4 linked regions of the Elephas maximus indicus genome follow. The protein of the gene in region 1 binds, or shares a complex with, the protein of each later gene. Links are inferred from orthologs where the notes say so. Each region holds a gene or a part of one and is shown on either strand. Other genes may lie near its edges. The genes, in order: CNOT6L, CNOT10, CNOT9 and CNOT2.

Evidence for each region.
Region 2: CNOT6L (region 1) and CNOT10 share a complex: the UniProt entries of both Homo sapiens proteins name them as parts of the CCR4-NOT complex. The link is inferred for Elephas maximus indicus from reciprocal best matches to the Homo sapiens genes CNOT6L and CNOT10.
Region 3: CNOT6L (region 1) and CNOT9 share a complex: the UniProt entries of both Homo sapiens proteins name them as parts of the CCR4-NOT complex. The link is inferred for Elephas maximus indicus from reciprocal best matches to the Homo sapiens genes CNOT6L and CNOT9.
Region 4: CNOT6L (region 1) and CNOT2 share a complex: the UniProt entries of both Homo sapiens proteins name them as parts of the CCR4-NOT complex. The link is inferred for Elephas maximus indicus from reciprocal best matches to the Homo sapiens genes CNOT6L and CNOT2.

Annotation. Positions count from the first base shown.
Region 1 is NC_064823.1:79,349,326-79,357,751, reverse strand, and holds the start of CNOT6L (CCR4-NOT transcription complex subunit 6-like), read right to left. Parts: upstream 3,079-8,426; 5' UTR 3,063-3,078; coding exon of another isoform or gene 3,058-3,062; 5' UTR 2,812-3,057; coding exon 2,711-2,811; intron 1-2,710. UniProt on the Homo sapiens protein: Has 3'-5' poly(A) exoribonuclease activity for synthetic poly(A) RNA substrate.
Region 2 is NC_064845.1:6,926,477-6,934,746, reverse strand, and holds the start of CNOT10 (CCR4-NOT transcription complex subunit 10), read left to right. Parts: upstream 1-4,802; 5' UTR 4,803-5,759; coding exon 5,760-5,961; intron 5,962-8,270. UniProt on the Homo sapiens protein: Component of the CCR4-NOT complex which is one of the major cellular mRNA deadenylases and is linked to various cellular processes including bulk mRNA degradation, miRNA-mediated repression, translational repression during translational initiation and general transcription regulation.
Region 3 is NC_064824.1:117,130,639-117,138,235, forward strand, and holds the start of CNOT9 (CCR4-NOT transcription complex subunit 9), read left to right. Parts: upstream 1-4,269; 5' UTR 4,270-4,470; coding exon 4,471-4,494; intron 4,495-7,597. UniProt on the Homo sapiens protein: Component of the CCR4-NOT complex which is one of the major cellular mRNA deadenylases and is linked to various cellular processes including bulk mRNA degradation, miRNA-mediated repression, translational repression during translational initiation and general transcription regulation.
Region 4 is NC_064822.1:131,515,663-131,523,649, reverse strand, and holds the start of CNOT2 (CCR4-NOT transcription complex subunit 2), read right to left. Parts: upstream 3,416-7,987; 5' UTR 3,156-3,415; coding exon 3,046-3,155; intron 1-3,045. UniProt on the Homo sapiens protein: Component of the CCR4-NOT complex which is one of the major cellular mRNA deadenylases and is linked to various cellular processes including bulk mRNA degradation, miRNA-mediated repression, translational repression during translational initiation and general transcription regulation.

The sequences.
Region 1 (8,426 bases):
GAAAATTACCTAAATGTAAACTTCATTTTTTTCTTTGTTTTTAAAGTATTAAAAACAATTTCATACTTTTTAAGGTGAGACTTCTTCCTTTAAATATATCTCTATGGCAGATGATTCTGTTCATTGTAAACACACATACATCCACAACAGAAACTGGCTATTTTAACAAAACATGACATTTTGCATTCTAATAAAGTTGTCCCTGTTGCCCTTCACAGAAAGTGATGTTAAATGACTTGAAATTTTAGTGATTTTCTAGATTTACAAATATATATTACTAACATTGTTGATGGAAATAATGATTTAAGGCTTAATTGGGAAACATGGCATTTGTAAACAGGGACATTCCAAATTTAAACCAAAGAGATGTCTCCTATACATTCTCTTCACCCTGCCTTTATCAAATAAAAAAGGAGAAAAAAAAAATTCATTACTTAACCTCTCAGCTGCCCATACCTTAAACTCCATTCTTTTTTTCACAATAAGGTTAAAATGTAATGAAGAACACATATACTACTCCACAAATACTAATAAAAATGGGAAATTATTTAAAGGTAAGTTGACAGAGGATTTTAGCTTACATTCAGGAAAATATTCCAAGGGGTTTTGTTTACTGGAATCAATCAATATGAACTAAAAGAACTGCATAACGATTTTGAGGCACTTACACTTTGTTGTCCTATGTAGACAAACTCTGATTCCTTGACTTTTGTAATGCTTGATTTTACTAGAACATAGTATATGTGCTACATATAAAACTTTTTTTAAAAAATTGCAAGAACTACATAGTAAGAATTAGCTAAAAAAGAGTAATGAAACTGAGAGATGGGCTATTCGCAAATACGAAAATAAAATTAAGTATGACTATATTCTCTACAAACTAATATAGTAGGCTATTTTAATGGCAACCTTATTCCTAAAAAAAGATTTCTAATATACCATGCAAAAGTTATATATTTATATATATAAAAGTTGTGTATTACATGTACATGCATACACACATATACACATATTCATATATATACATATATCCTATGTGTATCAACTGACTCTGAAATACTTTTTGATTTATTAACTTAGTTATATAATATTGCTGTAGGTAATGAGTATTTTTATTTAGAAATGATTTTCAAAGCCCAAAGTCAGGGATGCAGGAGGAGAAATTAAAATTTAACTAAGCATCTACTATGTGTGAGACATGTTTTCTCATTCTAGCCTCACAACAAGTTTATTATAAAGGCATCATTATCCCCACATTAGAGGAGAAACCAGGTAGCTTGCGTAAGGTCAAACAACTAAGAAAAATGGCACAGTCTGGATTCTGAGGTCTGTAAAACAAGTCCTTTTTCCTCTAAACTACATCTGTTGTTTTTCCAGTAGTGATAACAGAAAACAGCTCTCTATCCCACCTTCCCTTCTCCTCACTTCCCAGTGAATACCCTCCAAAAAACCAAACCCGTTGCCGTCGAGTCTATTCCGACTTACAGCGACCCTATAACACGCACTATTTCTTTGAGAGCCAGGTTGAGAAAGGAGCAACCTCTGGTCAATATACACAGCACAACCTATAGGGACAGAATTTATATCATACTTTCTCCACAGGGTTCAAGCTAAATGAGCTAAAGGGGAGGGAGCAGAGTAGATAAAGTAAATCAGCAAATAATTATATTTAAATATAAACGCCATTTGTATTTGGCTTTGAAAACATCACACGCAGATGTGTCTTTACAATTTCATTTTGCTTCAACTACTCTCAAAATAGCTTTCCAGGATCTCACAGTGAGTAGACAATAAAGGCTGCCTCTGATCTAGGTTTTGGAGACTTGAGTAAACTCAGAGGAAAATGTGTTTGTTGTGCATGACTATCTTGACTGACAAGATAACTAGAGGCAGGAAGGTAGTGCCTCCCAGTATGTAGTATGGTGCTTCCAATGTGTACAAAAGGTTCAGCTGAACTCCCTGAACACAATTGATCTAAACAGCCTAAACCAAATAGTCGTCAGAATTAAGAGGATGACAGCTCCAGTATTAACTTCCTCTTCCTTACCAACCTCCTCAACTGGGCATGTACTCACCTTTCCCCCTACAAGGAAGGACAAAACAATTCAGATGCACAAAATCGATCCAATCCCACCCACCGGTAACACAGGCCACTAGAGTCAGCTTCCCTTCCTTCTCCCGCGCTTCCAAGAAGATATTTACCTTTTTAAAAAATGCATATATCTTATCACCGAAAAAGTATCTGAAAGGAAAAACGCAAATATTTACTCAGTTCCTGCGCGTACCCTTAAAGGAGGGATGAGAAGCAGGGACCTCGACGCCGCGTATTCCTGAGATTTACTGCTTTGATTCACTTTCCCTCGGGTCCCACAGCTGGCGGGAGAAAAAGCCTGCAGTTCGAAGGCCAAAATAAGCCTTCGCCTCTCAGGAGACTCGGAGGCGGCTGAGGAGACGGGAATCGGCGCGTCCCGCCTCTGACCTCCACCTGCCCAGGCCCGAGGCAGCGCCCCGGGCCCGCGAGGGCCGGGCGTCCGGGGAGGCCGGCGGGCGCCGAGGCGGTTAGGCCGCGTTGCAGGCCGGCGCGCTTCCTGCCGCGGCCCCAGGAACAGCGGCGCGGCCCCGACCCGCAGCTCTCCGGGCCCAGCCGCTGTGTGTCTGCCACACACAGGCTCACCCCTCCCCGGCCCGACCCCCGCCGAGCAGCTCTCACCTGCGAGGTTCCGTTGCACTCGGCCACAAAGGGTGACGGACACACCACTCGGGGGTCCCGGACACACGGAACCCGCCCCCCGAGTCCCGGGCCCAGTGCATGGACCCTCACACACACACCCCGGAACCCTGGCTCGCTCCCACAGAGACGCGGGTCAGCCCCATTAGCCCCTCCAGTCACTCGACACACACCCACTCGCTGTGGGTCCTCAGGCCGCCTCCTCGCCCGCCAAAGTCCCAAATCGCACAGCCGCACGCACATTTGTTCCTCTCCCACCTCATTTCCCCACTGACGCGCTCCTCTTCCCAACATCCTCGAGCCTCCTCAGAGGTACAAAAACACACTACCTCATTCTCTTCCTCGGGCCCAGAAGGAGCAACAGCAGCCATTTCCCCGCGGCAGGGGACACACACACACAAACACACGCGCGCGCGTTCACCAGGCCCCCACAGATGCTTCCCCTCCGGAGCCGCGGCCGCAGACGCAAACACAAACACCCACGGGCGGGCCTGGCTCCCGCCCGTCCGGATGGGAAGCGCCGCCACAGGCAGGGCCCAGGTCCCGGGCTCGCGGGAGGGCGCGCTAGGCGCCCGGGCGTGGGGTCGCGGAGGGGCCTGCATCCCCTCCTCACCTGCATTCAGCGCGCCGGGGTCCGGGCGGCGACGGCGGCGGCGGCGGCGGGGCGGCTGGTGCTGGTGCTGCGGCGGCGGGGGTGGCGGTGGCGGCGGTGGCGGCGGGGCTGAGGGCAGCAAAGACATGCAGGCAGCCCGCCGGGGGGAGAGGGACCGGCCGGAGGGGACGCGGGGCGGGCAGGCCGGGCCGGGCTGCCTGAGGAACGGCAGAGACGGCGACGAGAAGGACAGCTGAAGGGAGCGAGGAGAAGGGGGTGGGGAGGGGGACGAGGGCCGCGCTGCCGGGCTTCGAGGACGGTGACCCTGAGAGCGCAGGAGAGGCCCCGCGGCCGCGGCCGCCGACGCCAAGGCCCCGCCGAAGGGAGCTGCGCCTTCCCAGCCGCCGAAGCCGCGTCTATTACTCCAGGAGCAGCTCGGAGCCTGGCCTTGGCCTTGGCCTCCTGCCGCTGGGGCTGCCGCCGCTGTGGGGGTTGCTGCTACGCCTGCTGCTGCTGAGGCCGAGGCTGCTACACAGAGACGCCAGCTTTCGGTGCCTTCGCTAGCGCTCACACACGTTCACACCCCCGAAGGCCGGGGGAGAGGCGACCGGGCGATATCGGTTTTGAGATTAATAACAAGGTGCAGAGAGTGCGAGAAGGAGGAGGGTTGATTGACGTGGAGGGGCTGGCGGGAGTCAGTGAATCCCCTGCGCTGAGGGGTGGGGTGAGGGGGAGGAGGCGGAGCAGCGCCGGGGCGGAGCTCCAGAGCCGCGCCTTGGCCCCGCCCCTTGAGTGTAGCGTTTTGTCGAAGTGCGCGTGCGCTGGGCAGTGTTCTTGGCCCTCTTTTTCATTTACTCTTGCTGTTTCTTTCTTCGTTTTCTTGGCTCGAGTGACGAGCAGAGCTGGGAACGCTGGTAGGTTATCAAACACACAAACACAAAGCCTCACCCGTGTTCTTGCGTGAGCCCGGCGATGCTACAAGCTTGCCTGAGGCAGCCTGACAACGAAGCCGAGAGCTGGTTTGGGTGGCTAATGAGACATCACATGAAGTGAGGAGACCAAAGAAAATGTTTCCTGACACCTTAAGTGAGTTTTTCAAAAATGTGTAGTATGTGTAAGTTGTATCGTCAAAAGTAAATAAAAGAACCTGTGACGCTCTGGGATAACCCGTCCTATTTTCAAGTTCTCGCTTCTCGCGATAGAATTACATTGTTTGGCAGTTTATGTGTGCCAACTACAGGATGAAAACATTAAGATGAAAACTAGAAATATTAATGTTTCCTTGCAGAATGTGGTATTGACATTTTAAGTTTCTGGGGTTTAATTTCATTAATGTGGGTCAACTTCAGCTTTCACCAACAGCAGTACAACAAGCAAATTACACAGGCTCTAGGGGCAAAATACTACTGTTGCAGTTTTGAGCAATTTCAATCTCTTTCGCAATGCATGCTCCAGGATTGTGTATTTCTTGGTCAAGGGTGTATGAATAGCGTTCGGTATTTTTTCCCACAGGAGATTTGTTTAGGACACTAAGCACGTTGTGTTTGCTGCAATTAAATCTTAGGTTCTATTATTGAATGTAAAATGCTTTCATCTCCTGGTGCGGGGGAAGGTGAAGTGAAAATGCAAATGATCGTTTAGCCAGAACTGAACAGCTATTAAGAGTTCACCTTTGCAGAAGCACTACTGCACCACTTTTATCCTTCTCACCAGGAAGCATGAGAGAGTGACTGAGTGAGTAAGTGAAGAAGCCCCTCAGGACAGAGAAGACCTAAGGCTACTTTGTTTTTCACCTGTGTTTTAAGTTTACATTTCCTAGCAACACCACCGCCATACTGGCTTTTGTAATAGGTGTCAAAATGACCTTAATCCTGGAAGAAGTCCCATTCATTCCCAACTATCTAGAGTATAGGCTGACTGTAATGAGTAAATATCTGGCTTTGTAAGCAATAAAGCCAAACAAGTCACTTTAGGAGCCTAGAATAATAAACCTCCCTTGATGCCACAGCATTTCTCCTTGGCACACACACTCTCCTCCTGAAGGAGAAATACTACCAAATGTTGAAGAAATGAGGGAAGGAAACATCTGAAAAAATATGAATTACATTATATGATAACCTCAGAGATTTAAGTTTCTTCAAATATCATAGGTGTATAGATTTCTAAGTATTCAGTCATACAGTAAATAAGCATATGTAGAGGAGGTATTATGTTCCAGACACTGTATGTGGCATTGGAGATACAAAGTTAAGCATATACAATCCGTTAAGTAGCTGTAGGGGAAGCAGACATATAAACAGGAAATTCTCACAGAACAAACCAGAAATGAAAGTATGAAAGGTAGCACAAAATTAAACACAACAAATGTCAGAGGATAAGGTTGATGTGATAAGGCTGACATTTTCACTTCAGCCATATGATATCTGACCACCCTCACAGGCTGACTAGCTGGGGGAAGAGGGGAGGGCGATGTGGATGTTAACACTAATGGTAGGGTTTGCTGGTGCTGAAGCTCAGGTTTATATATAGAATGTTCATTGCTGGCTTCTAGTAAATGCATCAACATCCACTGAAAAAGAAGGTAATTATAACATTTAGAGTTAATAATAGTAGATATTATTATGAAAAGGTCAATTGAATGCAGTTTGAGTTTAAATAGCCAAAGATGTTCTTTGTATAGCATATTAAATGAATTGACTTACTAAAAACAAGGAAGCAAAACTTGTATAATTATCTGAAAAATAGATTGTTTTTCTTATTTGCAATAAGATTGAGATTAGAGAAACAATAATTTTTAAAGTTGTACAAATTATATTAGCTGAGAAATTAAATCTTTGTAGATATAAAAAAAAAATAATTCCCTCTTAAGACTGTAATTCAAAAGACAAATGCCAACAGCAAGAGTAGCACTTCAGCCATTTTAAAAAACAGTTTTATAGTAGATCAAGGTTTGGAACAAAATAGTAGCCTGCTTTTGATATCTTTTCAAATAAGATTTCAGTGGGAATTATTCATGTTTGTCAGATATTATCATTTTTTAATTAAGACTAGAAATAAGAAAGCAATGAAAAAAATCTCCCTTTGAAGAAGTGATTTATACATTTGAAAGCTTCTGGCTTAAGTAAGCCCTTTTTGACCAAATTGCTTTAATAGCAGCAGTGTGTAGGTACAATTTGTTCTGAAACAATATTTGTTTATTTGTATTACAGAACTAGTCCATTCTTTCTTAAAAATAAAGTACTTGATGTTATAGAGACCACCTGTTTCTGTTTCAAATTAGCAAATAATATTTGAATAAATCTTCCTATCTGTTGGTAGCGACACAGAAAAATCCTTTATCTTTCCTTGTCACTATGTGCCTTTATCTCTTTTCCGGAATTCTATTGAATAGCTTGCTCAAAAAGCTAAGATTTAAATTTTTGACTTAAGAATATTATTACTACTGGGTAAAGAATCAATTAAATGATTTTACTCATTTCAATACATACTTTTATACCAATAGGTATATAACTTTTCAAGTAAAGTGGCACATTTAAATGTATTCGGTAAGTAAATTAATTTATTAATTAGTAAAATAATTCATTGTAATTTTACTTGATAGTCATTAGTACAATAACTTTTTTAACAAGCACTAATCAGAATAATCTTAAATTTTTACTTCTTAGACCTCCTGACAGGGCCTCCAAACAATTTTACAGTGACATATTCTACCTTTCATTGAACTACATTCTTCTCTGTCTTCTCACATTTTACTCCTCTAATTCCTCTTCCTCTCTATATATCCCCATGGCTTTATTTCTTATCTTTCTGTAAGACACCGTCTACCATGGGTATGTTCCTCCAAGGAGGTTGAGTTTACTGATTTCCTTTGCCCTCTCTGTGTCCACCCACTCTCTCTTTCCATCACTCCTTTTTTGTTTCTTTCCCCCAAAACAACAGTGGGTGACACAAACGACCATCACACTATCTTAGCCAAAGGTAAACATTTTCCATCATTACTGATAGTATGCCATATGATACCTCAGTCATAGATAAGATGGTAAATAGGCAAAGTTAATCTTGGTACCCTCCTGCTTCCTCTTTCTGCAGTCCCATTCTCAAGTCCCTTCATCTCTGAATATTCAGAATCTCCACCCCAACTCTGTCAACCTCAGTACCACTCTATTTGGTACTTCCTGTACCAGGCAAGAACCACCACCAATAAATGTCCAGTTCCTCAATTTGTCAAGGACTTGAAGATAACTGACATGCTATCCAACCAGTAAAATGCTGTACTCCAGGGATCCTCATAGAGTCCGCAAAGGTATGTTTCAGAAGCCACCTAGAGTACCCAGAGGGGACCTGGTAGTTGGGACCTCAACTAGAACGCCTGTGTTTTATGTTTTACGTATTGGCCATCTATTTGTCTGCCCATTAACCTTCCTCTTTCTGTGAACAGTGTGTCCTTTCATTCAGGGAACTATTCCTGCCATTCCAGTGGCAGCTGCAGCCCAAGAAAGTCCCCCAGCGTCTTGGCTCAAGGGTGGGCTTATGATTCAAACAAAAACAAGCGAAGTTCTTCCCCAGGATATTTTCAGGTGGAACTAAGAGAAGAAGGACTCTCCCTTGGCTCTAAGAGTAGAGCCAAGAAGGAAGTCTGAGAGTGACCAGTGGCCACTTACTGCCTTGTGTAGCATGAAGCTAGCACAGAGATGAGAAATGCAGAGAGCAAGTCCTAGCAGTTCTCCAGTTCCAGGTTTCAGTCATCCCTGGGGTCTAGTTGCACCTTTTTCACATAGCGTGGCTAAATTAACTAGTAAATTCTCTTCTATATCAAAACTAACTTGAGTTAGACCTCTGGAACCAAAGCATCCTGACTAATACATTGTGTTTCTTCATGAGTTCTTTCAAAGAAGGCTCACTGCGACTAAAATAAATTTGAAAATCAGTGAACTAACAATGAGGTATTATTGGTTGAATTGTAGTCTACCAAACCTTAAAGATCACCTGATCCTACTTCCTCGTTTTCCAAATGAGGAACCTGAGGCAAAGTGATTTGCCAAACATCACCCAGGCAGTCAATACCAAAGTCAGTGTTAAAAACTGGTGTCTAGATACTTAGTTCTC
Region 2 (8,270 bases), on another chromosome or scaffold:
CCATGAGCAAAGGGATGAATTTATGTATTTCCAGGTAGACTACTACATAAGGGGTGTTGTGGCAATCAGGGCGTCACATGTAGAGGCATATATGTCCATCTGCCATTGACTATCGTGATAATTTAATCACCTGGTCAAGCTGTTGACAGATTTTTTTTCCCCACCTTAACAAAATATTCCTGACTTATGTCTTGTCTGCTATACCCCAGCACTAGAATTAGCCATTTCTCCAAGGAGCCCTAGTAGTTGAGTATAATTTTAATAGCTGAAAGAATTGAATGGTCCTACTAGATATTTAATTCTGTGGTTTTTCTCCTATATTTTCTCTCAAATTCAAATTTTTCAGATCTGGAGAAGTACATTTATGCCAAACAAATGCAAAATTCAGGCAAGTGAAGGCTTTGTAGGCAGGGTTTGTAGGTAAGGACTTGAACACCCACCTAGGATTCTGGGCTGTGAGAGCCTACACCAATTGAAGGACATTGATTCGGTAACTATAAAGTTGTTCGTATTTGGTATTTTTTAAAAACTTTTTTATTAGAAAAGGTTTTAAACAGCCAATAAATTAAAAGTAAGATGAACATCCATATACCCACCAACTAGTTCAACAGTTGTCACATTTTGCCATACGTGTTTCCTCTATCTTTGGCCACAACTTTTAATGTTGAATCACTAGGAAATAAGTTATTGGCAACTTGGCACTTCATTTCTAAATGCATCAACACGCATTTCCTAGAAGTAAGGACATTCACCCACATAACCACAGTGGTTAAGAGCTTGGCTATTACCAAAAGGTCAGCAGTTGAAATCCACCAGCCACTCCTTGGAAACCCTGTGGGGCAGTTCTACTCTGTCCTGTAGGGTCACGATGAGTCGGAATCAACTCAGTGGCAGTGAGTTTGGTTTGGTTTTAATGACTAATGATGTTGAACATCTTTTTGTGTGCTTGTGGTCCATTCGTATATCTTCTTTGGTGACATATCCAAGTCCTTTGCCCATTTTTTAATTGGGATGTCTTTTTGTTCACTCTCTTTTCTTTTTGCTCCTCAGACTTGATAGTAATTGTCCTATATTTGTGTTCACTGGTTCTTTTTTCTGCCAGATCAAATCTGCTGTTGAACCCCTACAGTGGATTTTTCATTCCAGTTATTCTTTTCAGCTCTGGTATTTTTCATTCTTTTTTAAAATAATGTCTGTCTTTTTCTTGATAGTCTCTATTCTCGTTTTATTCATACATCATTTTCCTGATTTCCTTTTTTTTTTTTTAACCTTTTGAGTATGTTTAATACTGTTGTTTTAAAGTCCGTCATCTGGGCTTTCCCACGGACAGTTTTTTTTTTTTTTTAATAATTTTTATTGAGCTTTAAGTGAACGTTTACAAATCAAGTCAGCCTGTCATACATAAGCTTATATACACCTTATTCCGTACTCGCACTTACTCTCCCCCTAATGAGTCAGCCCTTCCAGTCTCTCCTTTCGTGACAATTTTGCCAGTTTCTAACCCTCTCTATCCTATCTCCCCTCTAAACAGGAGATGCCAACACAGTCTCAAGCGTCCACCTGATACAAGTAGCTCACTCTTCATCAGCATCTCTCTCCTACCCATTGTCCAGTCCCTTCCATGTCTGATGAGTTGTCTTCGGGAATGGTTCCTGTCCTGGGCCGACAGAAGGTTTGGGGTCCATGACTGCCGGAATTCCTCTAGTCTCAGTCAGACCATTAAGTCTGGTCTTTTTATGAGAATTTGGGGTCTGCATCCCACTGATCTCCTGCTCCCTCAGGGGTTCTCTGTTGTGCTCCCTGTCAGGGCAGTCATCGGTTGTGGCTGGGTACCATCTAGTTCTTCTGGTCTCAGAATGATGTAAGTCTTTGGTTCCTGTGGCCCTTTCTGTCTCTTGGGCTGATAGTTATTGTGTGACCTTGGTGTTCTTCATTTTCCTTTGATCCAGGTGGGTTGAGACCAATTGATGCATCTTAGATGGTCGCTTGTTAGCATTTAAGACCCCAGACGCCACATTTCAAAGTGGGATGCAGAATGTTTTCATAATAGAATTATTTTGCCAATTGACTTAGAAGTCCCCTTAAGCCATAGTCCCCAAACATCCACCCTTGCTCTGCTGACCTTTGAAGCATTCAGTTTATCCTGGAAACTTCTTTGCTTTTGGTCCAGTCCAGTTGAGCTGACCTTCTGTGTATTGAGTATTGTCCTTCCCTTTCACCTAAAGTAGTTCTTATCTACTAACTAATCAGTAAATAACCCTCTTCCACCCTCCCTCCCTCCCCACCTCGTAACCACAAAAGTATGTGTTCTTCTCAATTTATACTATTTCTAAAGATCTTATAATAGTGGTCTTATACAATATTTGTCCTCTTGCCTCTGACTAATTTCGCTCAGCATAATGCCTTCTAGGTTCCTCCATGTTATGAAATGTTTCACAGATTCGTCACTGTTCTTTATCGATGCGTAGTATTCCATTGTGTGAATATACCACAATTTATTTACCCATTCATCCGTTGATGGACACCTTGGTTGCTTCCAGCTTTTTGCTATTGTAAACAGAGCTGCAGTAAACATGGGTGTGCATATATCTGCTTGTGTGAAGGCTCTTGTTTCTCTAGGGTATATTCCGAGGAGTGGGATTTCTGGGTTGTATGGTAGTTCTATTTCTAACTGTTTAAGATAATGCCAGATAGATTTCCAAAGTGGTTGTACCCTTTTACATTCCCACCAGCAGTGTATAAGAGTTCCAATCTCTCCGCAGCCTCTCCAACATTTATTAGTTTGTGTTTTTTGGATTAATGCCAGCCTTGTTGGAGTGAGATGGAATCTCATCGTAGTTTTAATTTGCATTTCTCTAATGGCTAATGATCGAGAGCATTTTCTCATGTATCTGTTAGCTGCCTGAATATCTTCTTCAGTGAAGTAGGTGTTCATATCCTTTGCCCACTTCTTGATTGGGTTGTTTGTCTTTTTGTGGTTGAGTTTTAACAGAATCATATAGATTTTAGAGATCAGGCGCTGGTCGGAGATGTCGTAGCTGAAAATTCTTTCCCAGTCTGTAGGTGGTCTTTCTACTCTTTTGGTGAAGTCTTTAGATGAGCATAGGTGTTTGATTTTTAGGAGCTCCCAGTTATCTGGTTTCTCTTTGTCATTTTTGGTAATGTTTTGTTTTCTGTTTATGCCTTGTATTAGGGCTCCTAACATTGTCCCTATTTTTTCTTCCATGATCTTTATCGTTTTAGTCTTTATGTTTAGGTCTTTGATCCACTTGGAGTTAGTTTTTGTCCATGGTGTGAGATATGGGTCCTGTTTCATTTTTTTTGCAAATGGATATCCAGTTATGCCAGCACCATTTGTTAAAAAGACTATCTTTTCCCCAATTAACTGACACTGGGCCTTTGTCAAATACCAGCTGCTCATACATGGATGGATTTTTACCTGGGTTCTCCATTCTGTTCCGTTGGTCTGCATGTCTGTTGTTATACCAGTACCAGGCTGTTTTGACTACTGTGGCTGTATAATAGGTTCTGAAATCAGGTAGAGTGAGGGCTCCCACTTTTCTTCTTCTTTTTCAGTAATGCTTTGCTTATCCGAGGCTTCTTTGCATGGACAGTTTTTGTTACTTTATTCTTCTGAACAAGTCATCCTTTCCTGTTTTGTTGAATGCCTTGTGATTTTCTGTTGAAACCAGGTCATCTGACTGTTATGGTAATTCTGGAAATCAGATTCTTCCCCTTCCCTGGGGCTGTTGGGGGTTTTATTGTTTGTTTTAAATCATTAGAACTGTAGTAATCCATTTATTTAGAGACTTCCCCTAACTGTTTTTGCAAAGACTACGTTTCTCTACATATGTAGACCCTGAAGTCTCTGTTCCTTAACTGTGTTCAGCTAGTTTTTTGACAGATTTCCTTGAGTGCCCGGGGTGGGGGTAGTGCAGTAATGTCTGTTTGTCTTTGCAAATTGGTTCTGTGCTAGGGCCCTCCTTCAGCACTTAGCCAGGTTTGTGTTGAGCCTATAGGACAGCCCAGCGTGAAAGTGTATGGTTTTCAAAGGTAATTTCTGAGCGTGTGCCTTGCTAATTCCTCCATATACAAGGTGCTTTTGAAAGTCTTCTTTTACAAAAGTAATCTTTCTTGGCTTTTCCTTCCAGTCTTTAGGTGCCTGTTGTGTGCCTTAATTGCATTCTTTAGCTACAGGCAGCTACAGCTTTTCAGAGTTCCCTACTGCCCCTCAGCCCAGACGTGTCAAACCAAGATGAGCACCTTGCTTTAGTCCTTGAGGCAGTCCTCGGACAGGTTAGATCAGATACAACAAAGTCTGCTCTGCCGTATCTAAAGCCAGAGACCAGGCTCTCTCTCTGGGAATGTGGACCATTGTGGCTTTAAGGTGGCCGTGCCAAACTAGGGAGGGGATTGAGTGCAGGTGACTAGAAAATGAAAGTTTACCTAATGCCATTAAGATGTTACATTTTGCTGATGCCACTATCTTGCTTATGTTTGATATTTTAAGTATGTTTAATGTTTAAGAATTTGGAGCAGTGTATTAATCTTGTTATTGTGATTAAAAATGTATAAATGAGTGAGTAATTGATTATAGTTGTGAATTTAAGTCAAGTCCTTACTATATTTGTATTATTGCATGGAACATCAAAGAGTACCTAAGAGTTACTGTATTTATCCATCTCATTTCTTAGATTTATAAATTAATGTATTTAAGTTCTCAGAAAATGTTTTAAGTCAAGCAATTGTACCTAAAATTGAACATATTAAAGATTTTAAAGTAGGGAAAATTTTGTTTGAAAGAGCTTAACTCTGTAAATGAGATCAAATATTCATTACAGCCGCTTAAAATCGACGCAGGTTTCCTAGACCTTTAAATAGGGTAATAAGATGTCTAAGTTGAATGTAAAAGCTTGAGGAAAATCTAGGCTTTATTAATTTATAACTTCAACAAATCTAATATTAATGTTTAAACCTAGAGTAAATCTCAGTCTTTTTTATGCATAAAAACTGCTCTCAGATATGAAAATAAAAATACTCACTGGCAGTGGGAGTGGGTATGCTTTGCTGGTTATCCCCAGAGCATGCTGATGTTCTTGATTTGGACTTCACTTCCTTTCTTTCTGAAGCACTAGGCAAGGTGTCCACCTCTGTAGCATTGCTGGTTATGAATGGCGTATCCTTTGGGCCCTGCAATGTCTGCTCTCCATTTTTGCAGCTCCTCACGTCCAGCCTACAGTGAAAAGGAAACGTGGCTTATGCAGTACTTCTTGCTTTCTGGAAGGTAGCTCCACTGGTCCCCTGTTACTTCTCTGAGTTATGTAGAGGTCAGGTATCTGTGTGTGGAGTTTTCATACCTCAGGTATACTTGTTGTTTAGGTGCTAGAAGGAACACGTGAGGTATGTGAGCCTCAGCTATATGGTGACTTTGGTGAGCCTGGATTACTTTTCTTTGAAATGGCATCCTTGTTAAAACTTTTCTCCACAAAGGCATGTCAGTATTTTGCAAACATTGCAGATTTCTGTCAATCTTAATGCATTCCTTTTTTCTTTGAAAAATTATCTTTTCTTGAACATCACTGGAGCTACGTATTGACAAGTGTAGGTTGCGCGGAAGCTCATGCTCCAATCAGATTTGAATTGTTAGTGTTCTGTATTGGAATGCGTCTCTGCTTTCAGTTAACTGGCTTTCAGTTTTGAAAAAGCAGCGTGTTCCTTTTCCACTTAGTTCATACCTAAAGGCATTCGTTTGGTTAGAAATGAAGCCTGTCGGCTTGAAGACTGTCAAGATTTGTGAGGCAAAGAGCTCGGGTTGCCTAGGTCAGCCATGTTCGTTAGGTCAGAGTAAAAGGAAAGTCAAGCCTTTGAAAGACCCATCATCATATTCTCTTTCAATTGGCAATGGGGACTACTTTTGGACAAATAAAGAAATGTTGTGGAATTACGTGCAGGCTCTAACTGGTAAGAAATTAGCAGTTACAAATAATGATTTTAAAAAATTTTAAAAACCAATTATAGGAGAAATACGTATTTATCATAGAACGTTTGAAAAGTGCAAAAAGATAAAAAGAAAATGAGCGTTCTCACTATAGTGTATTTTTAAAAAAAACAGTAAATTTTCATGCTAAAGTGAAAGAATTTAGGTAAAATAACAGTTGGTTAACATGTAAAAGGTTATTTATTGAGCTCAGTTCTTTGAAACAGGTGTAGATACAAGAATCACAGATTTTCTTGTCAGGCTTAAAGTCCAGCTTATTTATTTAAAACCTGGCTTCTTTCCTTTCCTGGAGAATTTGGGGAGACTTGCAGTCCCTAGGGGATGACGACAGCAGTGGCCACATGCACCACTCTGCTTTTCACGGAGAATAGAAGCTTAAACTCCTTGACTCCTTGGTGAATTGTTGAGTGCATCCTTGTGCCCTATAGTTAATGGTCAGTCTCTAACAGTTAGGCCCAGAAGACCCGTTAAAGAATGTCATCTGGTCTAGAAGGGGCATATTTTGGAACAAGCTATAAAGATAACTTGATGGCAAGCTAAGAATTTTTGGCATTTGGTTTAAATATGCACCATAAAAACCAAACCCATTGCCATCAAGTCGATTCCGACTCGTAGGATAGAGTAGACCTACCCCATAGGGTTTCCAAGGAGCGGCTGGTGGATTCGAACTGCCGACCTTTTGGTTAGCAGCCGAGCCCTTAACTACTATGCCACGAAGGCTCCATACTTACAAACCAAAAAAACCAAACCTGTTGCCATCAAGTCGATTCCAACTCATAGCGACTCTATAGGGCAGAGTAGAACTGTCCCATAGGGTTTCCAAGGAGCACCTGGTAGATTGGAACTGCTGACCTTTCGGTTAGCAGCCGAATTCTTAACCACTATGCCAGCAGGGTTTCCATACTTACTTATAGGGGAAAGGTAATTTTTTAAGAACTTGCGTTTCCTAAACTCTTAAATGGAAAGAGAAACATGTAAAAAGTATTTGTATTCATTGTTAAAATTTTATCATCAATATAATGTGATAAGTTGAGGGTTGAGCTTCAACCTAACCCCCTCCTGTGCTTTCTGGGGTCCTGTAATCCTGCGTCCCATTTCAACACATTATTAAAGTAATTGATCATTACTGTTACTAAGTACCTGATGGTTTGCAAATGTGAAAGAGGGGTCAGAGCAAAAATCCTGGAAAGTGGGATAGAAGTGCGGTCAGACTGTTGACAGTTATTCGGGGTAGAGATTGTAGAGCCGCTTTGTACTTTATATGTATTTATTAGTTTTGTAATAAAAAGTGAACATGTAAATAAGAAATCCAAATATCATGAGACTTTGAAGTTGTTCTTTAAGTCACAAATGATGACATTACTCTTATATATTGTGTCTTTGGTGAAAGTTTACATAGGAAATTAAGTTCTCATTTAACAAATTTTGTACATATTGTCTAGTGACATTGGTTACATTCTTCACAATATTTCTGCGTTCTTATTATTTCTATTTTAGTTGTTCTGTTTCCGTTAATCCAGTTTTCCTGTCCCCCCTAGCCTTCTCATCTTTTGTCTAGGGTAAATGTTAAGCCTTTGATTTCACCTGGATAATTATTTTGGGGAGCACAGTCCTCACAGGTGATATTATTTATTTTATGGGACAGTCTGTCATTTGGCTGAGAGGTGACCTCTGGGAGTGGTTTGAGTTCCAAGTTTAAAGAGCATCCCAGGGCGATAGTCTCTGATGACTTTACTCTTACATGTCGGAGTCACATTTTTGCAGTGGTCACTGTCACTGGTCTTTTAGTTAATGCATGAAATATCTACTGGTGAGTAGAATTGAGAAACAGAATATTCTGTGGGAGATGTTGAAATATAAAAAACACCTTTTTAAAAACAAAACACAGGTTTTTAACAGAAAAAAGAAAAATATTAACATTAAAAATTACAAATATTCCCACGTTCACATTACCTATGTAGTATTCTTTCCAAAAATGCCGAACTGAGTGTGGTCATGAGGAAACAATGAGAAAAACCCAGAATGTGGGGTATTCTGCAAGATAACCAGCTTAGACTCTTTAAAAAACAGTTAGGGACTTGATAAAGAAGAATGGTTAACTGTTCTGGAGTAAAAGAAACTAAAGCAGGACACCAACCAAGGGAAATGCGTGCATCTCGATTGCTTCCTGGATTGGGAAAGGGAAATAAAGCTGCCCCCTAAGACGTTTCTTAGAACAGTGAGGACAGTTTGAATATGGGTTATTTGTTAGTTACTTTTGTTGTTGATTTTT
Region 3 (7,597 bases), on another chromosome or scaffold:
TTGCTTTCCAGTCTCCATTCTCTCAATTTTTTTCACCCAATGAATCTTTTACACTATAATATCCTTTCTAACGGCTACTCTTTGGGCATTATCAGCTAAGTTATGCAGTAATCGTCACCTTAACTTCATCGCTGAAGGAGAAAATAAAGTCGTATCTTCCTATATATTCCAAGAAAACGCTCTTAGTAAGTGCTAAATTGATTGATGCTAATTCCTTCCCCTTTTTAACAGCTCATGACTACCCATAAAAGAAATTCAAATGCTTCTCTGTGTTTGGGATTCATACACTTCCTATTTCTAAATACAAATCCTGTTCTACACAAACTATTACATTTTAACATTTCCTCCCATATCCACCACCACCAACTGACTTAAATATGGAATTTTGCTTTATCTATTTTGGAAACCTCATCCTCACTGGTCTCACAGTCTACCCCGTTGCTAAAATATATATATATAAACCACTGCTCTGATTTCCAAGGGCTTTCTTTCCTAAAAAGATCCATATGACAAACACACAACAAGATAAAATTAGTGGTGTGGCTGAAAGTAAAGAAGGAAGTTAGCCTACATAAAATTTATCTCCAATTCAAAGAATGAATCTGAATGATTTTATGACATATGAAAGGGTATAATGACCCAAAGCTGGAAAACTCTTTGTTTTTCTCTTGTGGTCCTCTGTTTTTGCAAAAGGTAGCTGTCTTAAAATGACAATAATCAGTAAACTGGTCCTTCCAAAAGACTCATGGTTGTTATTTAAGTCCAGTTTACTCATTTAACAATTTTTTGAGAAGTAGAAATGGTCATTAGTTTGTAATCTAGTAGAACACAGACTTTAAACAATTTCACAAGTAAATATACAATTACAAGTTCCAATAAGTGATAAAAAGTGAAAGTACAGGGCAAGATGAGAGATTACAACAGGGTATTTAAGATTTGGTGGTAAAGGGTAGGGAACATTAAGAAAAGTACCACTTGAACAGAAAATTAAGTAAGTTGATTGGGGAATGGTGGTGCTGGAACAATCCAAGAAAACAGAAAAGAATTTCTTTTTTATTTTATAAAAGTGCAAAGGCCCTGAGATAGGTAAGAACCTGGCATGACTGAAAAGTAGCAGCATGGATGCTGCTTAGTGACAGAGAGAATGGTGCAAGATGAAGCTAGTGAAGCAAGAGCCGAGTTACACAGTTTTACAGACCACAGTAAGGATTCTGAATTTGATCTTTACTATTCAACATAATGGAAATGCTGGTGGCTTAGTGGTTAAGAGCTACAGCTGCTAACCAAAAGGCTGGCAGTTCGAATCCACCAGCCACTCCCTGGAAACCCTATGGGGCAGTTCTACTCTGTCCAATAGGGTCACTGTGAGTCAGAATCAACTCGACGGCAATGGGTTGTTTTTTTTTTTTTAACTCAGTGTAATAAGCACTTAGTGATGGGAGATGCATGGGAGGGTTTTAAGCAGAGAAAATGCCATATTACTGCTGAATGGAGAAGTGACGTGGTTTGTTTGGGTCTGGGGACAAGAACAGTGGAGGGAGCAAGAACAGAAGAAAACAGAGCAACCAGATAGAATACTTAAGTTGTTCGGCTTATAACAACAATTACAATAACAAGTAACACTTATTGGCCATTTACCATGTACCAAGTGCTCATCGTGGTTATCTCATTTAATCCTCCCAACAATCCAATAAGGTAGAACCTTTTATTATTTCCATTTTACAGATGAAAATACTTGGAACCAGTGAGATTAAGTCCAGGTGAAAGGCGACTGTAGCTCGAACTAAAAAAGGTGGTAGTGAAGATGTAGAGAAATAGATTCAAGACATATATTGAAGTATAATAGATAGAATTTGGAGAGGGTATGGATACACAGGATGAGGGAAAAGCCAAGAATGACTTTCAAGTTTCTAACCTGTGTAACTGGATAAATGGATGTATCATTTAATAAAATGGGACACTGGAAGAAAAAGAATTTGGGTGTGGGAAGAATGACCAAGACATGTTTCAGACATGTTATATTTGAAATTCCTCTGAAAAAATTAAGTAGAGATGTCAAACAGGCAGTTGGCTATTTAGATGTGGAGTTCAAAGCAAAGGGATTGGATGGGAAATAAACATTCTTAAGTTTTCAATGTAGAGATGGAATTTGAGGCTTATGGAAGGCAAAAGTAAAAGCAGAAGAGGACCTAGGGCTGAAGTCCAGATATTCAAAATAGAAACACCTCTTACTAAGATCACTAATTACTTCTATGTCACCAGGGTTTTTTCAGTCCTCATTCAATTTTACCTTTCAGCAGAATTCAACACTATTGACAACTTCTTTCATCTCTTTTGCAAGGCTCATTCTCCTTTATCCAGTTATTAAATGTTAAGAATTCTTCAATGCTCCCTCCTAGGTCCCCTTCTTTTCTAGCACTATACTCTATGCAATTTCATCCACATCCATAGCTTCAATTACTACCAACATGACTCTCTGTTTATGTGTATATATACAGTCCCTATGAGTCGGAATTGACTTGACAGCAACAGGTTTTTTACAGGTGTACACATGTATATACAATTGTCAGCCCAGAAATTCTTCTCTGAGCTCCAACAGCATATCCAACTGTCTACCTGACATCTCCTTTAAGATAGCTCTTCCAGTTACAGGCCCGTCAGGCATCGTTGTTAGTTGCCATCCAGTCAATTTTGAGTCGTGGTGACCCCATGTGTGCAAAGTAGAACTCCTCCATAGGGTTTTCCAAGCTATGACTTTTTGGAAGCAGATTGCCAGGCCTATCTTCTGAGGCACCTCTAGCTGGGTCTGAACTGCCAACGTTTCAGTTAGTAGTCCATAAATTAACCATTTGAGCCACCCAGAGACTCCTGTCTGGCATTAGCAACCTCCCCCCCGCCCCCCCGCAAAAGGCATTCACAGAGCTAACATTTTGAGGGGATTACAACAAAACCAAACAGCCCTGGTGGCACAATGGTTACGAGCTCGACAGCCAACCAAAAGGTTGGTCCAGCGGCTCCATGGGAGAAAGACCTGGTGATCTGCTTCCATAAACACTGCAGCCAAGAAAACCCTCCAGGGCCGTTCTACTCTGTCACATGGAGTCACTAGGAGTGGAGAACGACTCGAGGGCACCCAGCCACCACCACCACCACAAAACCATTACAGGACAACTCGTCAGAATACAGGGCTTTGCCATCAATTACCATTTCCTTCTGCGGATCATAACCTAAAACGGGTAAACCTGACAACCTAATCTGATGGCCAGAAATGGGGAACACCAGACAGATGCACGACAAAAAATATAATTCATGCCTTTTGGTGAAGGATACTTAGGAGAGGAAAGAAAGTGAAGAATGGTCCAGAGACTGAATTGAGTATCATGTCTAGGACCCGATGGAATGTGCGGCAACGGAAGTCACCTGAAGAGACAGCAGGCCTCATTAAGTGGCAAGTGGTGGACGACAGCAGGAGCCAGTTTCGGACTGCGGAGGGCACGGGACAGTAAAGACCAGGTTTTAAGAGAGGGAGAGCCTGGGGGGAAGCCCCAAGTCGAGTATCTGAGGCTAGGGACCGTCGAGGGGTTGGGGGGCGGGCTGAGAAGCAGCGCGGTGAACTCTTTAAGAGTGAACGCCGAGTGGGCGGACAGCGAAGGGGAGGGGGGCTGGGAGAAACAGCTCAGTTGAGAAGCTTGCCGGGCCCGCCTTACCTGTGCCTGCGAGTCAGGAGCCCCAGAACAGGCCTACCGGAAACACAGAGTCCGAGCGGAGGAGGAGGAACCGGGAGTAAAGTAGGGGTACCGGCCACTGTGGAGCGGGGCCGCTCACTCCCCCAGTCAGGGAGAGCGGCTGATGGCGGGAACTGTGACCACACGCAAACACGCACGCACGCACGCACACTCGACGCGACCAAACCAGGCGTGCGCGCAAGCCTATAACTCCGCCCTTCCTACGCCTTCGCCCCGCCTCGGCACCAAGCGACGCCCTGCACAGAAGCCCCGCCCCTGCCGTGACTGTAGTACGCACGCGCACTTTCCATTTCATCCCCCTTTCGAGCTCCCACCATTTCCCTCCTACTGAGCCCAGTCGGGCATGCGCACTAACAGGCCTCCCGAGACTGCTCCTCTTTTCCCGCCCTTCACTGGCTTCCGAAGGAGGGTCAGAGTTCACACCCGTAAGGATGCCTACTTGAAGCCGGGGATACGGGGACTAGCGGGTCGCGGACGTCCTCCCTGAATCTTAAGGGGCAAAAGACATACTGTGAGACTTTTAACTCCGCCGAGGGCAGGGAGGCGGGAAGAGGTTGTGTGGGCGGGGTCAGGGGTGAGAGGTCAGAGGGCGGCGAAGGGGGCGGAGCGAGCCGGAGGCGGATGGCGGCTGCGGCGGCTCATCATCTTCGGCGGCAGCGGCGCTGAAGCAGGACGCGGATCGGGCGCGTCCGGCGGTAGGAGGAGAGTGGCGGCCGCCCCCAACATGCACAGCCTGGCGACGGCTGCGGTGAGTGGCTGGACCGGCCGGCCTGGGCCCAGAACCCCTCCTCAGCCCTGCGTTTCGACCTCCTCTCCCAGCTCCCTGTGTCGGCCCCGAGTCCAGCTCCTTCTGCCCTCAGCCGGCGAGGCCCTGCTTCCCTCCTCGCCGCGCCTTTCCTGCGATGCGGCTGGCCGCCGCTCTCCTCGGCTGACGGCTCTCGCTGCCTGTCTCTGCGCGTAGCGTTCTGTTCCGGCCCTGGGGCCTGGTCCAGCGCCCGGAGCGTCTCCCTCGCGGCCCGGGCCGGCCATTCATTGATTCCTTACGCTGACCAACAGTTTGAGAGCCGCAATGGTGTGCTGGGCGCCGGCGGGGCCGAGGGGGATCCCGTGGTAAATCTGACGCGGCCGGTGCTCTCGGAACTTACTGCCTAACGCAGCAGGATGGGAATGGCTTCTAGCTCAAACCACTAGCTTTTACAGATGGAAAACCTGAAGCCCGGAGAAGTGAATAAATATGCATCTGGTTATGATTCTTTGCTTTTAAAACCTTTCACACATCTCGTCCCAACAGCTTACCAGGCTTTACCAGCGTGCTCTTTTAACAAGAAAAGCGCAACGTGTATTTCACCTGTCTGAAGTACTTCTATGGCTTCCCATTGCACTTAGATAAAATCTAGACTCCTTGCCATGGCCTGCAAGGCCCTGTGTGATGTCGTCCTTACTCACGTTTTCAGCCTTGTCTTATGTCACTGGAACCTGATGGCACAGTGGTTAAGGGCACGGCTGCTATCCAAAAGGTCAGCGGTTGGATTCCACCAGCTGCTCTTTGGAAACCCTATGGGACAGTTCTACTCCGTCCTGTAGGGTCTTTATGACCCGGAATCGACTTCACTGCAACGGGTTTGGTTTTTTAATTTGGTTCTTATGTCAGTTGCTCCATGTGCTTTAGCTACACTGCCCCCTTGCTAACCCTCCTCCATGTGCTTTTCCACTCCTGGGTGCACCTCTGGTCTCTATGTCTGAAATGCTTTTCTTCCCTCTGTGTGTGTTTGTGTGTCTCACACACACAAACACACACACACACACCATGTGGGTGTAACAGGCTCTCATCCTTCTGGTCTCCACCTAAATGTGCTTCAGAGTGGCCTTCCCTGGCCACCTTATTCAGAGTAGCCAACTTTTCTCTTTCAGAGTACCCTGCCTAATACCGATCCTAATATGTAGCTATTGTATGAAGTTACTAGCTTGTTGTCCTCCCCCTTGAACACAGAAACAGGGATCATTTGGGTCCTGTTTACATTGTTTCCCCAGTGCTAGGATAGTTTCTGCTACCATTTAGTAACTCAAATACTTTGTTCAGTGAAGTAATATAAATGCAGGAGGTGACCACTGAGAACATGTAGCCATAATGGGAAAAAGGGATCATTTGATTTTAGTGAACGCTTCTGCATGCCAGTCCTACTTTTTCAGTTTCACCAAGGACAAAGTGACTTAAGCAGATAATAACGTGCTGAAATTGCATTACCAGGCAACATGACATAAGTTCTAAATAGAGCACAAAAGAAATTGCCTTAACTTTAAATATAACAACTGAAGAAAAAGTGAGCCAAGTGTGGCTAGCCTATAGCAAACATTGCTTTCTGAGATTTGATCCTTATCAAGTCATCATTTCCAGGGCCAGTGGCATCTCTGTCTCCTGTCACCATGTTTGTAATTGTGGAGAGGTACTTTTTAAATCTTAATTTGATTTTAATTTCCCTAGCTTTTTTATTCTACCTCCCAAATTTGGGAAGAAGTACATTGCAAGGTAAGGCTGCTGCTGGTAGGGGAAAAAAGAAAACAGGAGAGAGGCAGATTAAACTGAGGGAGATTCTTGTAAGGTTGGCTCTCTCTCAAAATCTTTGTCTTCCCCAGGATTTGTACTTTTGATACCAAGCCATTCTCCAATTTTATTTTCAATAGTTCATCTTTTGAACAGCCATTGAAGCTGTGGTACATTAAGAATAATAAATACTCAGTATATGCTTCTTCAATGTACAATGCCTTATATTTACTTAAGAATTTAAACTTTTACATGTACTTGCACCTGTTACACTAGTTGGACTGTACAGCAGCTCTGACAAGTTCCTTTGTACCACTCATCCACTGAGCTATTTGATTAGTGAGGAGACTGAGGCATAGAAAAGTTGACTCACCTCGTTCCCAATCCCTCATGTCATCTGTTAGACCAAACTGGGAATTATGATCTGGGTAAAAGGACAATAATGATGTATATCACTCATTAGAAGATGGGGAGAGTTAATAATACATGCAACATTACCCACAATAATCTAAGCTACTTGAGAAGATGCTTACATATTGCCCAATAATGAAAATTTATATTTGTGTATGTGCCTTTATCACTCCCTTCTCCCTTCTTTTTTTTTTTAAATAGCAGGAAAGTTATTTCTTCAGGCAGGGAGATAGAAAGTACTATCATAGGATGATGTGATCACACGTGAATTCAGGCTATTCTTTGTAGAGGGAGAGATTGAGATAATTGGGGAAGTACCTTAAATCTTGAGAGTAGAGTAATATTTTATTATGCTAGAACTGTGCAGTAGACAAGGAGCTGTGGATAAGCACTTGGCTGCTAACCTGAATATTGCTGGTTCAAACTCACCAGCTGCCCCACAGGGGAAAGATGTGACAGTCTGCTTCCGGAAAGATGGCAGCCTTGGAAACCCTGTGCGGCGGTTCTGCTCTGTCCAATAGGGTCACTATGAGTCGAAATCAACTCGACAGCAATGGATTTGGTTTTGATGTAGTAGACTTGTCATTCTTGAGGGAATACATCCTAACAACTTTGTTATTGCCAACATAGAATATAATAGGGACAGTAATACCACACGAGATTATTCTAAAGATTGAACAAGAATGACAAACTGCTTAGTGGTTGGCTCACTTCACTCACTGGTTAAATGACTTGCTTCCAGACTTCAGCCTTGGGATTTTAGTTCCTACCTCTGCAAAGTAATAACTTTGTTATGGACCTTGGAGATTGCTTCAGATTAAAACAACTACAAATCTTCACATACCTAGAGTTGTTATCTTCCGTAATGAATGTTATGCTAGTGATCTGAAAGCCAAAG
Region 4 (7,987 bases), on another chromosome or scaffold:
TAGAGATATACCATAAACAAGGATAAAAACAAAAATAAACTTGTTGCCATCCTGTTGGTTCTGATTCACAGCACTCCCATATGTTACAAAGTAGAACTGTTCCAGAGGGTTTTCTTGACCGTAATCTTTATAGAAGCAGATCCCCAGGGCTTTCTTCAGTGTTGGTCTGGGTGGGTTTGAACCACCAACTTTTTAGGTTAGTGTTGTTGTTAGTTACCACTGAGTTAATTCCAACTCAGAGAGACCCCACGTGTGTAGAACAGAACCACAACATAGGATTTTCAAGGCTGTGACTTTCTGGAAACAGACAGTCAGGACAGTTTTCTGAGGTATCTCTGGGTGAGTTCAAACTACGAACTTTTCGGCTAGTAGTCAAGCACTTAACTGTCTGAGCCACCCAGGGAGGGACCTTGTTCATGGATACAGAGACTTATTAAGATGTCAATTCTTCCCAATTTGACCTATAGATGAAATGCAATCCCAATCAAAACCACAGCAAGTTATTGTGCAGATAATGACAAAATGGTTCTAAAGTTTATATGGAAAGGCAAAAGATCAAGAAAAACCAACATAAGAAGAAGAACGGAGCTGGAGGATTGACACCATCAGACTTCAAAAATTACTATAAAGCTATAGTGATGAAGACACTGGTGAAGGAATAAACATACAAATCAGTGGAACAGAATAGAGAGCTCTGAAATAGACTCATGCAAATATAGTCAACTGATCTTTGCCAAAAAAGCAGGGGCAGTACAATAAAGAGTCTTTTGAACAAATGATGCTGGAACAACTGGACATCTACGTGCAAAAAAGTGAATCTAGATCACAGACCTAAATGTAAAATATGAAACTATGAAATTTCTATAAGATAGCATAGGAGAAAATCTAAGTGATCTTGAATTTAGCAATGAGTTTTTAGATACAATACCAAAAGCACAATGCAAGAAAAAAAGAAGCTAAATTGGACTTCATTAAAATTAAAAACTTCTGCTCTGCAAAAGACTGCTAAGAGAATGAAAAGGTAAGTCACAGACTGGGAGAAAATGTTGGCAAAACACGTATCTGATTAAGGACTTGTATTCAAGATATGCAAAGAAGTCTTAAAACTGAACATTAAGAAAACAAACAAGCCAATTAGAAAGTGAGCAAAAGATGTGGACACCTCACCAAGGAAGATACACAGATGGCAAAAAAGCATAGAAAAAGTATTCAAATCATGTATCATTAAGGAATTGTACTTTAAAATAAAAATGTGATGCCACTACATCTATTTAAAAAAGCAACAAAAGTAGATGCAGTCCACTCGATTCCAATTCATGGTGATTCTATAGGACAGAGTAGAACTTCCCCATACGGTTTCAAGGCTGTAATCCTTAAAGCAGCAAACTGCCACATTTTTCTCCTGTGGAGCTGCTGGAGGGTTCAATGTGCCAAACTTTCAGTTAGCAGCTGAGCACGTTAACCACTGCACCACCCCAAAACTGACAATACCAAATGCTGGAGAGAATGTGAAGCAGCAGAAACTCCCATTTATCAATGGTGGGAATGCAAGTTGGCAGTCACTTTGAAAGACAGTTTGGGTAGTTTCTTATAATGCTAAACACAGACTTAACATATGATCCAGCAATCATGCTCTTAGGTATTTTTCCAAATAAACGGAAAACTTAAGTCCACACAAAACTGCACAAGAATGTTTATAGCAGCTTTACTATAATCGAATGGTAAAACAAACTATGGTACACCCACACAACGGAGTATTATTCAGCAACAAAAAGAAATGAGCTAACCTGGTCAGGAAAAAGGAATCTTAAATGCTTAATGCTAAGTGAAACAAGCCAGTATGAAAAGCTACATACTGTAAAATTCCAACTATATGACATTCTAAAAAAGGCAAAAATATACAGAGACAATAAAAAGATCAGTGGATGCCTCCAATTCAGAAAGTGGTAGCGGATGGGGAGAGTGAATAGGTGGAGCACAGGGAATTTCTGGGGCAGTGAAATTATTCTGTATAATACTGTAATGGTGGATACATAGCATTATGCATTTGTCAAAACCCACAGAACTGTTCAACACAAAGAGTGAACCTTAATGTAAACTATGGGTTTTAATAATGTTGTTGTTGTTGATAAGTGCCCTCAAGTCAGTTCTGACTCATAATGACCACATGTACAACAGAATGAAACACTGTCTGATCCTGCACCAGCCTCATAATCTTTGCTATGCTTGAGCGCACTGTTGCAGCCACTGAGTCAATCCATCTCCTTGAGGGTCTTCCTCTTTTTTTCTGACCTCTGCTTTATCAAGCATGATGTCCTTTCTCCAGGGACTGGTTCCTCCTGATAGTATGTCCAAAGTACGTGAGACGAAGTCTCGCCAACCTGACTTCTAAGGAGCATTCTGGTTGTACTTCCTCCAAAACAGATTGTTCTTCTGGTAGTCCATGGTATATATTCAATCATCTTTGCCAGCACCATAATTTAAAGGAATCAATTCTTCTTCAGTCTTCCTTATTCATTGTCCATCTTTCACGTGCACATGAGGCAACCGAAAATACAATGGCTTGGGTCAGTCACACCTCAGTCCTCAAAGTGACATCTTTGCTTTTGAACACTTTAAAGAGGTCTTTTGCAGCAGATCTGCCCACTGCAACGCATAGTTTGATTTCTTGACTTCTGCTTCCTGGGACAATGATTGTGGATCCAAGTAAAACGAAATCCTTGAGAACTTGAAAGGAAATCTTTGAGGATTCAATCTTTTCTCTGTTTATCATGATCTTGCCTATTGGTCCAGTTGTGAGGATTTTTGTTTTCTTTATGTTGACATGTAATCCATACTGAAGGCTGCAGTCTTGGATCTTCACCAGTTAGTGTTTTGAGTCCTCTTCGTTTTCGGCAAGCAAGGTTGCGTCATCCGCATATCGCAGGTTAATGACTCTTCCTCCAATCCTGATACAGCATTCTTTGTATAGTCCATATTCTGGGATTATTTGCTCAGCATAGAGATTACATAAGTATGATAAAAGGATACAACCCTCATACGCACCTTTCCTGATTTAAAACCACGCAGAGCATCCCCTGTTCTGTTTGAATGAGTGCCTCTTGGTCTACGTACAGGTTCCTCATGAGCACAATTAAGTGTTCTGGAATTCCCATTCTTCATAATGTTATCCACAATTCTTTATGATCCACACAGTCAAATGCCTTTGCATAATGAATAAAACATAGATAATGTCTTATTTAATAATAATGTATCAATATTGGTTATCACCTGCAACAAATACAGCCCACCAACGCAGATGTGAATAACAGCAAAAATGGTAGGTAAGGTAAGAAGAAGTATACAGGAACTCTACCTTCAATTCCATTTTTCTGTAAACAAACCACTCTAAAAAACAGTCTATTAATTAAAAAACAAAACACACCATTTGAAGAATATCATAGTTAAAGGAAAAGGAAGATTATCAACCAAATGGATTCCAAAGGAGAGGTGAGAAAATGAGACACTAAATCTAAATTTATATTTTTTAAAAAGACCAACAAGAATCTAATTAAAAGAAATACATAAACCAAATGTTAATTAATGGAAAGAAACAAACTTATATGTCTCTAAGTTTCTCTAAATCAGAGCCTAATAAAAATGTTGCATGCAATAAACAGTACTTGGATTAATGAATATTAACTGAACCCCAACTTCTTTCAGAAAATAATTAAAAAAAAGAATTTCTCAAAACAGGAAATCAATATATTTTGAGTAAAATTTCTAGAAAATACTTTATTGGAGAGGGGAAATACTTATTAAAGTTTATTCTTTTAAATTTCATGTCACCAAATAAAATATGCTAATGGAACAAGAATCAGGAAGTCTGAGTTGAAGTATTAGCTTGATCAATTTCTCCTTTCTAGTCTTAGTTTCCTAATGTGTAAAATAAGGTGGTTGATCCAAATGAATTTAGAAAACACATCCAACTCCAAAATTGTCTATTTTCAATGTTCGGTGTCAAGGCAATGCTCACAGGAAAGTGGACAATTACAGATGTCCTTTTCTATGTTGTCTTTTTTTCTTCCCACTGCACTATTCAATAGTATACAAAAAATACCCCAACATTTTACGGTTGCCCTCGTGGCACAGTGGTTAAGAGCTCAGCTGCTAACCAAAACTTCTGCAGTGTGAATTCACCAGTTGCTCCTTCGAAACCCTATGCGGCAGTTCTTCTCTGTCTTATAGGGTCACTATGAGTTGGAACCGACCTGACAGCAACTCGTTTGGTTTTGGTTTAATGGTATCTGAAAGGAGCCCCAGTGGCACAGTGATTAAGTACTCTGCTGCTAAACCAAAAGATCAACGGCTTGCTCCATGGGAGAAAGATATGGCAGCCTGCTTTTGTAAAGATTACACCTCGGAAACCCTAGTTCTACTGTCTTACAGGTCAGTATGAGTTGGAATCAACTTGACATCAATGGGTTTTCTTTTAACGCTATCTGAAATAAGTAAAACATGGTAGTCATTACCATACTCAACTTTGAGCTAAAACGTGAGGAATTTGGTCAAGTTATGATTGTTGAACCAGCTGGACGAGTTTTCTTTTTCTGAAATAAACTCCGAAAAAAAAGCAAACCCACTGCCATCAAGTCAATTCTGACTCATAGTGACCCTATAGGACAGAGTAGAACTACACCATAGGGTTTCCAAGGAGTGCCTGCTGGATTCGAACTGCTGACCTTTGGGTTAGCAGCCGAGCTTTCGACCACTGCGTCACCATTCTTTTTTGATATAGAGAATTTTATATACCAGGCTGGCTATTAATTAGAACAGACTACCAGATGTGGCCAATTTCAATGGAACTCTAGAGTAAGCTGAAGTAAACACACTGTGCTCTTACCCTTAAAATTCAAAGGTTTTTTAGATTCCCTAACTATGTCAATCAACCTTTTCTGATTAGTAAATGAATCACAGCCACAAAAACACTTCCTTGCCCTTATGAACTAATTTCTGGTTTGATAACACAGACGAATGTTTTCACAATGCTCTAAGTTATGAACCTAAGCAATGTCACTGAATTGTACATATAAAAATGCTGAATAGGCAAATATTTGTTTACATGTATTTTTACCAGAATAAAATGATTTAAAAAATGTTCTGAGTTAATCACTCCTTGGTACATATGAGAAGTGTCTGCCAGTTTGTCATACTGTGGGGGCTGGCATGTTGCTGTGACTCTGGAAGCTATGCCACTAGTATTCAAATACCAGCAGGGTCACCCATGGCAGACAGGTTTCAGGCGAGCTTCCAGACTAAGGTTAGAAAGAAAGGCCTGGCGGTCTACTTCTGAAAAGGTTTAGCCAGTGAAAACCTTATGAATAGCAGTGGAACACTGTCTGATATACTGCTGGAAGATGTGCCCCTCAGGTTGGAAGGCACTCAAAGTATGACTGGGGAAGAGCTGCCTCCTCAAAGTAGAGTTGACCTTAATGATGTGGATGGAGCCAAGCTTTCAGGATCTTCATTTGCTGATGTGGCACGACTCAAATTGAGAAGAAAACAGCTGCAAACATCCATTAATAATTAGAATGTGGAATGTACAAAGTATGGATCTAGGAAAACTGGAAGTCATCAAAAATGAAATGGAATGAATAAACACTGATATCCTAGCCAATGGTCAACTGAAATGGACTGGTGTTGGCCATTTTTAATCAGATGATCATACGGTCTCCTGTGCTTGGAACCACAACTTGAAGAGGAATGGCATTGCATTCATCATCAAAGTGAACATTTCAAGCAGCTGGTATTTAAAAAAGGCCCAAAGTTTGTTAACCAGGGAAAAGACAGTCTCTTTAGCAAATGGTGCTGGCATAACTGGATATCCATCTGCAAAAAAACGAAATAAGACCCATACCCCACACCATGCACAAAACCTAACTCAAAATGGATCACAGACCTAAATATAAAATCTAAAACGATAGAAATCATGGAAGAAAAATAGGGCAACACTAGGAGCCCTAATACATGGCATAAAACAGAATACAAAACATTAGTAACAATGCACAAACACCAGAAGAGAAACTAGATAAGTGGGAGCTCCTAAAAATCAAACACTTAACGTTTATCCAAAGACTTCACCAAAAGAGTAAAAAGACAACCTATAGCCTGGGAAATTTTTGGCTATGACAAATCTGATCAGTGTCTAATGTCTAACATCTACAAGATACTGCAAAACCTCAACAACAAAGACAAATAACCCAATTAAAAAATGGGCAAAGGATATGAACAGGAACTTCACCAAAGAAGATACCGAGGTGGCTAAGAGATACATGAGGAAATGCTCACAATCATTAGCCATTCCAAACAAAAAAACCAAGCTCAGTGCCATCGAGTCGATTCCGACTCATAGCGACCCTATAGGACAGAGAACTGCCCCATAGAGTTTCCAAGGAGCGCCTGGCAGATTCAAACTGCTGACCCTTTGGTTAGCAGCTGTAGCACTTAACCACTATGCTACCAGGGTGTCCCATTAGCCATTAGAGAAATGCAAATCAAAACTACAATGAGATTCCATCTCACCCCAATAAGGCTAGCATTAATGTAAAAAACACAAAATAATATATGTTGGAGAGGCTGTGGAGAGGCTGGAACACTTACACACGATGGTGGGAATGTAAAATGGTACAACCATGTTGGAAATCAATGTGGTGCTTCCTTAAAAAGCCAGAAACAGAAATAACATAAGATCCAGCAATCCCATGCCTTGGAATATATCCTAGAGAAGTAAGAGCCATCACATCAATAGAAACATGCACACCCATGTTCACTGCAACACTGTTCACAGTAGCAAAAAGATGGAAACAATGTAGGTGCCCATTAACGGGTAAATGGATAAACAAATTATGGTATATTCACACAATGGAATACTATGCAATGATAAAGAACAACAGTGAATCCTCGAAACATCTCAAAACATACATGAATCTGGAAGACATTTTGCTGACTAAAATTAGTCACAAAAGGAACAAATACTGTATGAAGCCACTATTATAAGAACTCAAGAAAAGGTTTAAACAGTAACACATTCTTTGATCATTATGAGGGTGGGGAGGGAGGGAGAGGGGTAATCACTAACTAGACAGTACACAAGAATTATTTTTGGTGAAGGGAAGGACAACACACAATACAGGGGAAGTCAGCACAACCACATTACACCAAAAGCTAGTAAGTTTCTTGATTACGATCAAACACTTCAAGGGACAGAGTAGCAGGGGTGAACCATGCAGCTGGGGACCATGGTTTCAGGGGACATTTAGGCCAACTGGCATAACAAAATTTATTAAGAAAATATTCTGCATCTCACTTTGGTGAGTGGCATCTGGGGTCTAAAAAGGTAGTGAGCCAAGCAAGCAGCCATCTAAGATTCAACGACTGGTCTCAACCCACCTGGAGCAAAGGAGAATGAAGAACGTCAAAGACATAAGGAAAATATGAGCCCAAGAGACAGAAAGGGTCACATAAACCAGAGACTCCATCAGCCTGAGACCAGAAGAACTAGACAGTGCCGGCTACAAGCGATGACTGCCGTGACAGGGAACACAACAGCAAGTCTCTGAAGGAGCAGGAGAAAAGTGCAGTGCGGAACTCAAATTCTAGTAAAAAGACCAGACTTGATGGTCTGACTGAGACTAGAGGGACCCTAGAAGACATGGCCCCCAGACCTTCCGGTAGCCCAGAACTAAAACCACTCCCGAAGCCAACTCTTCAGACAAAGATTAGACTGGACTATAAGATATAAAATGATATGGTGAAGAGTGTGCTTCTTGGCTCAAGTAGATACATGAGACTAAATAGGCAGCTCCTGTCCTGAGGCAAGATGAGATGGCAGAAGGGGACACAGGAAATACAGGGTGGAGAGGAGGAATGTGCTATGACATTGCAGGGAGAGCAACTAGGGTCACATAAAAATGTGTGTATATGTTTTTGTATGAGAAACTGACTTGAA